Linked DNA regions of Macaca fascicularis. The protein of the gene in region 2 purifies or fractionates together with the protein of the main gene of each other region. This does not show direct contact. Links are inferred from orthologs where the notes say so. Each region holds a gene or a part of one and is shown on either strand. Other genes may lie near its edges. The genes, in order: SDHB and SDHAF1.

Region 1 (3,813 bases), on a different chromosome or scaffold from region 2:
GGTGATTAGGTTATGGCGGCTCTGCCCTCACCAATGGATGGCCATTATCATAGGAGTAGGTTCCCGATAAAAGGATGAGTTTGGATTAGCCAGGTGTGGTGTGTGCCTGTAGTCCCAGCTACTCAGGAGGTAGGAGGATCACTTAAGGCCAGGAGTTCCAGGCAGAAGTGAGCTATGATTGCGCCACTGCACCCCAGCCTGGGCAACAGAGACCCTGTCTTTAAAAAAAAAAAAAAAAAAAGGGGTGAGAAGGGCCGGGCATGGTGGCTCACGCCTGTAATCCCAGCACTTTGGGAGGCCAAGGTGGGCAGATCACCTGAGGTCGGGAGTTTGAGATCAGCCTGACCAACATAGAGAAACCTCATCTCTACTAAAAATACAAAATTAGCCGGGCATGAGTGGGGCATGCCTGTAATCCCAGCTACTCGGGAGGCTAAGGCAGGAGAATTGCTTGAACCTGGGAGACGGAGGTTGCGGTGAGCCGAGATTGTGCCATTGCACTCCAGCCTGGGCAACAAGAGTGAAACTCCACCTCTAAAAAAAGGATAAGCTTGGGCTCCCTTTCTCTTGCCCTTCTGCCTTTTGCCATGGGGTAATACAGCATGAAGGTTCTTGTCAGACGCTGGTACCAGCCTCTAGAACTGTGTGTCAAATAAACTTCTTTGTAAATTACCGAGTCTGTGAAATTCTGTGATAGCACCACAAAACAGACTGAGACAGAACCTGGCCAAAGGGCAGCCAGTCTGTAGCCAGCTGTGGCCTCTGATGTGCAGGCATGAGAAGCTGAGCTGGGCCAATGTGACACCCTCTTGGGAACCTGTGCTGAGAAGTGCTGGGAGCAGATGGCGGGTGGCTGAAGCTGGAAGTGTGCTGGGAGGCAGAATCCAGGCCAGAGTGAGCCAAAAGCAGCAGCAAATGCAAGCAGGAAAAGGAACGAAAGTCAGAGCTTTGAGTCAGAGAAAACCTCCACAGAGCGGAGGGAAAGAACAGGCGGCTGGAGAGCCGGCAGATTCGCAGCCAACATCACAAGAAAGAGATGGAGAAGAAATGTGGTCCTCACAGCTGCCCGCATTCTGATGGCTTTCGCTTTCTGTTTCCTATGAAGTCAGGCTGAACGCAGGTACCTGCTCATGGGTTCCCGTGTATCCTTAACTCCACAATGTCCCTGTGTAGCCCACAAATAAAGCCTGCTCCTGAGCTGGCCCGAGTCAGTCTACTTCTTGCAACTAAGAGCCAAACTAGCCCCTAGGTTCACACTGAAGGGACAGGCACATGCTGCTCCCTTTTCATCTCAAGTGACTAGGGTTGCTCTCCACCAATCGCCTCTTTGTGAGCACATGCTACCTCTGGCATGTCAGCTCTGAGGCAGAGCTGAGGGTCACCAGCCCCACGTACCTTAGGACAGGTCCTTGTGCAGTTCATGATGGTGTGGCAGCGGTATAGAGAGAACGGGTCCTGCAGCTTGGCCAGGCGCTCCTCTGTGAAGTCGTCTCTGGAGTCAATCATCCAGCGATAGGCCTGGAAAACCAGGGACTGATTAGCTGAGCTGCCAATCAACAGGCCAAAGCGGTACCCTGGCTCAACTCAAAGCTCTGAGAGTGCACAGGAAAGGCAATTCACTCAGGTTAGATGCCTCATCTCCACACTCTAATTCTTGTCCATCTTTCAAAGAAAGGTTCCCAACACGTGTAGCTCCACTTGATTAATGGTCCCTGCAAACCTTTGATCCATACTGCACCTGGTACCCGGGTGCTTCATTATACACACTGGGCATCATCTCCTAATTATTTCATGTTGCTTAATAGCTTCCTACCCAGCTCATAATTTGGTGAAGGCAGGGACTGTATCATATAACCCTCTTATCTGTCTTTATGGCACCTACCCATGCTGGACTCGCTGTCTCTGAGTAAAGGAATGATTTAACAGACCTGTCTACAGATAGTATTTGTCCCACTTAACGATTCTTTGAATTCGCACAGCCCTCTCAGCAGCCTGAATCAGAAGCTGAAACGAATTAATCACATGACCATGGACCTGCTCTAGCAGTGTTACTTAGAGGACCTCTACATCCCCAACAACTCGGAGCAGCTGGTAAAGTGACAAGTGTAAGCGTACTTCATTATTCAATCTTTACATGGCTGGGAATCAATACTGCTCATGTGGTCACACAAACCTGTAACTTCTCTTTCTGTGGGAAAATGAGAAAGAGAAGTTGGTTTTTGAGTTGCTTACACTATGAAAAGCACACATCTAAAAAAGCACAAGCTTTCTGGGAACAAAGACAGTGACTTTCTTTGCAGTGAACACCAATACTATTTTCTTTCTAGGCAACCCCTAAATCCAGGCTTTCATTAGCTGGGAAACAGCTTCTAATCTCATAGCTGGGCAGCTGCCCTTCAAAGACATTGCTTTCTCCCCTGCTTGCACACTACAAATCTTATGTTACAAATCCTATGAGAGGGGGACGGGGAGCCTCTGACCACCAGGCATACGGAAATACGTTTTAAACATCTGCAAGGCATGGTTTGCCACCCCTTGGGGTGACTCTTACCACACTGAAACAAAGGCAATTTGCAGACAAGGCCCCAGATTTACCGAAAGCAAGTGAATGCAATACAACCAATTAGCCTGTTTGGACTGGATGGCAATGAAGGAAACCAGGCCCCTCAGAATGGCCGGCTTACAGCTGTCTATTGTCCTCTTGGACTTCTGGATGCTTCAGTATCAATTTCTCTTAAAGCAATTAAGGGGAACCTCACCTGCATAAGAACTGCAGGCCCCAGATATTTGTCTCCGTTCCACCAGTAGCTGGGGCAGCTGGTGCTACAGCAGGCACAGAGAATGCACTCGTAGAGCCCGTCCTATATGGGGAGAAAGAAGAGGCAGGAGCTTGTGAGGGGAAAGACTCTGCTATGTCTTCAGCTGATTAAATGTGACCTTTGGGGTCAGTGCATGAATAAAATGCCTGCTTGCATGTGAATTTTCTTGGCAAAATCCAAGGTGTGATTTGCAGATATTTAGCAGATTAATAAAGATCTTGCAAGTGAAATGTAAACATCTGCCCAGGGTTCTTAAGTCCACGTATAGTGCACTTTCCCTTCAATAAACAAGAACCTCTCACTTGTCTAAAAAAGAAATAGAAAACAAGAACACAAAAACAACTCCCATCAATTCCAACTTCCTGGAATGCGGTCAAGAGGGGAGAGATTCAAAAGCCCGGGGGCTGAAACAGCAGAAGTCTATAGCTGCTTCTGCCCTGGGCTCAGCAGAAGGGCCCTCAGGTTTTCACTGGAAACCTCAACATCATCCCCAGTGACTGCCACTGCCAATCCTGACGGAGAGCCCTGAGCCTTACACACTTTCCTCAACTGATCATCACAGTAATCCTGTGAGGTGAGTCCAGCAAGTTCCACTTACAGGTAAAGACCAAGGCACAGAGAGTGAGTTAGGCCATGTGCCCAGGGACGTGCCACTGTAGGCAGCAGAATCAGGATGTGGCCCCGGCAGCTGGCTCTGGCTTCCTGCACTTTCACACCTGTCACACTGGCTCAATCTGCCCAACAAGTCCGAAACACAAACCGGGCTTTCTGAGTTTGGAAACAACAGAAATGGATTAAAAGCAGCAAAACGAAAGGGGCCCACTGACACCTGAGGTGACAGTTGAGAACAGATGAGACAGAACCGATGGTTGTGACTGAACCATGAGTCTTCAACCAAATCTATTTGGTTCAGCTGTTCAGACGGCTGGTGGGAGTGTCAACTGGCCCCATTGGGCTAGAAGGCATAAGGTCATAGGATTAGGGGTCTTTAGAA
Region 2 (3,286 bases):
GGCGTGAGCCACCGCGCCCAGCCTTGGTCTTCGTGCCTAGAAGCCTATCCTGGCAATTAATTCTTCAAATTCCAATTCTACTTTATAACCATTTGGGCATGTGGCTCCCCCACTAGGATTAGGACAGCGACTGTTTCTCTTCCATCCATCCTCCCTTTGGTCTGAGGTCTATGCTCCTTACCTGTGGTCCTCCTCCCCACAGCTACATCCACAAGAACTCATTTCCACTTACTTAACTGACATGGGTGCAAATACAGCTCAGTGATGCAAACTGCATCCCTCCACAGAATGTCTAGGGCAGGCCCATATGGGGACACAGGAGGGAGTATACCTGTGATCTATGGGGTTCATCTCCCCTCCCCTGCCCCAGGCCTTGTCGTTCATTGTAGCTGAGGCTGGACCCTTCAGCTGTGTTTGAGAAATTTCCAGGTCTGAGACCCCCACTACTGCCTCAGAGGCTTTGAGCCAGTTCTCAGCTCCACCATTTCCTGTCCCACACAAAGATGTTAAACAACTTGCCCTCCATTAGGGAGCCAACTGGGGTATCTTTGGGGGTTAAGCCAGGATGAACCCCCTCCACAAATCTGCCCAGGGGAGAGAACTATGCTGCTTCAATCAATGTGCCAGTCTAGAGGACTCCGGAGGGAGTCAGATTCCCACACCTATTACCTCCCAGATGGTCCCTTCCAGGTGTCTGTGTGTGTGTGCGGTGGTGGTGGTGGGGGGGGGGGGGGTGTTTCAAAAATCCTCAAATATATAAAAGCTTTAAGACCACCAACAGGAAAGTAGACATATCCCCAATTTTATTCCCTTTGTCCAACATTCTGAGAGGGAAGGGGCAAATGAGTCAACGTTGCCCCTCAAAACCATCAAGTAGGGCCCTTTAGTTGATCAACCAGGGTGACAGACCGCTAGCCCCTTCCTCGTGGTCCTGGCTTGTCACAATTAATGGGGGAAAGTTTTCCCAAAGGGGATTCCGGGCTTCTCACCGCTTGATCAGGGAACCTTCCCAATACTTTCTCAGCAAAAAGTCTGCACTTCTCAGAGTTAAATATAGGAGAGGGGAGACTCGAGGAGCCAGAGGTGGGTGTGTTCTCAGGGGTCAAGAGAAGGGTGTCTCAGGCTCTCCCTGTCCAGCAGGGGGCGTCCTGGCTCCCCGTACCTTCGGGCAAGTAGCTCTCGGCTTGACACTGTCCAGCCCGCCGGCGTCCCAGGCCGCCCCAAGCCCTCATACGGGAGGAGCGCCGACCTGTCTCCAAGCACCGGAAAAGGTGGGCCTCTCTTGCCGTCCATCATGAGGCTCTCTAGGCCCCCTGCGTCGCCAAGGGGCAGTCTCTGACATCCCCAATTCGTCGAGCTAGTCTCTCGAGATCTCTCACCTTAGGCGGGTTCCCCAGGCCCCCCACGCAGTCAGGCGAGCCTCCTGGCTCCACCACGCCATCGAGCGAGTTCGGCTCTTCGCCAGTCACCGTCCGTCGGGCCGGGTCTCCGGTGCCCCCGTGCTGTCGTGGGGGTTCCTTGGACCGTCGCCGTCGTCAGGCTGGGAACCCACGCCGCCAGGCTCCTCGGTCGGGGCCCGCGGGCGTACGAAGGCGCCCATGGCGGTGGCGTGGCCCGAGCGTAGCAGCTGCAGCTGGCGCCGCCCGCGGCGGTACAGGTACTCTATGCGCAGCACGTCGGAGCGCGGCAGGCCCGCGTGCTGCCGGAACTCGGCCCGCACTCGCGCCTCGGCGCCCGGTTTCCCGCGTCCGGCACGCAGCAGATCGCGGTACAGGCTCAGAACCTGCCTCTGCAGCCGGCTGTGCCGGCTCATGACCGCGGCTAGGCAGAGACGCTCAGCGAACTCCCTGCTAACCGCCGAGCCGCCACACAGCGAGCCAAGGCCAAAGGGCAAAGCCACAGCCACTTCCGCCCTGCGCTTCCCTTGGCCCCCAACTCCCGCCTCCCGCCATCCGGCGCTGCCGCGTCTGATTGGCTGTCGTTGCTGTTGCACCACAGCGGGCTGGGAGAAGTGGGCGGAGTCTCTGGTCGCGGCCTCCCCTGTAGGGAACACGTGTTCTTGAAGGGACAGCAGTTCTGGGGATCCTGGCACCTGCGTGTCGTAGGAGGAGGTCGCTATGTGTTCGGACTCCTAGGTCTTGGGTCGGAGGGAACAGAGAGTCCTGACCTAACTCCTGCGTTCTGGGAGAAGAGGAAGCTAGGGTTTGTTTTTTTGTTTGTTTTTTTTGTGACGGGGTCTCACTCTGTCGCCCAGGCTGGAGTGCAGTGGCACGATCTTGGCTCACTGCAGCCTCGAACTCCTGGGCCCAAGCGATCCTCCCACCTCAACTTCCCGAGTAGCTGGAACCACAGGTGCGCGCAACCGCGCCCCCTATTTTATTATTATTATTATTTGCAGAGATGGGGTCTCGCTATGTTGCCCAGGATGGCCTCGAACTCCTGGGCTCAAACGATTCTCAGCCTCCCAAAGTGTTGGGATTCCAGGCGTGAGCCACTGCGGCCTGCTACGGGTTCGGACTTTGGGTCCCAACGGCGTGGAGCACTGGGAGAGACACTGGGCACAAGCGTGCTCTTGCCGTCAGTTACTGATTGAAACCATCTCGGGAATCTCCGTGCGTTCCCTCGTCCGGGGCAGGTCTGTGTCTGGGGTCCCAGCCCTAGGCACGTGCAGAGGGACGAGGCCCCGTAGGGAAATGGCTCTCGGCCGGTTGGACAGGCTTCTCCGTGCTAGGGGAAGACAAGCAGAGGGGGTGTGGGCGCCAAGCCCCCAGAGGCAGCGTGTGGCTCTAGGAGCTGGGTTGGTCGCGCCCTCTGCAGGTGGGAGTCGGGGCACTGGGCAGCGGTGTTTGGGTCCTCACGGACTGTTAAAGCCGGGAGTCTGGGACGCCCTGAACAGTGGACTAGACTGGCAGCCCGTTGTCCTCCCAGGAGCTTCAGGTCGTAGGCCGCAATGCCGTTGTTGTCCCCGCGGGCCGCTTGGAGGCGTCCTGGTAGCGCCAGGGAGGCCCGCAAGGACACAGCATCCTCAGGCCCCACCAGCACCGGAGCTTGGGGGACCGCTCGGTGACAACCCCAGACCCCTCCACCCAGCGTGCAACTGCGGCTCACACACTTGGGCCGGCAGCCAGCTGGGGGTCCGTTCCTCTTCAGAGAGGAGAAGCTGGTCAGGGGCGGAGATTAGGCTTGGAGTTTCGGAGTCAAGGGAGAATCAGAAACCACTGTGAATCCTGCCTGTCGGGTGTATGTATGTCTATCAAAAATACATGTCCTAGAGGCCGGGCGCGGT

Evidence for each region.
Region 1: the proteins of SDHAF1 (region 2) and SDHB purify together in Homo sapiens (co-immunoprecipitation; 3 studies listed by BioGRID and IntAct, with this or other methods). This does not show direct contact. The link is inferred for Macaca fascicularis from reciprocal best matches to the Homo sapiens genes SDHAF1 and SDHB.

The regions. Positions count from the first base shown.
Region 1 is NC_088375.1:218,109,220-218,113,032, reverse strand, and holds part of SDHB (succinate dehydrogenase [ubiquinone] iron-sulfur subunit, mitochondrial), read right to left. Parts: intron 2,862-3,813; coding exon 2,760-2,861; intron 1,519-2,759; coding exon 1,396-1,518; intron 1-1,395. UniProt on the Homo sapiens protein: Iron-sulfur protein (IP) subunit of the succinate dehydrogenase complex (mitochondrial respiratory chain complex II), responsible for transferring electrons from succinate to ubiquinone (coenzyme Q).
Region 2 is NC_088393.1:43,235,863-43,239,148, reverse strand, and holds SDHAF1 (succinate dehydrogenase assembly factor 1, mitochondrial), read right to left. Parts: upstream 1,901-3,286; 5' UTR 1,814-1,900; coding exon 1,466-1,813; 3' UTR 789-1,465; downstream 1-788.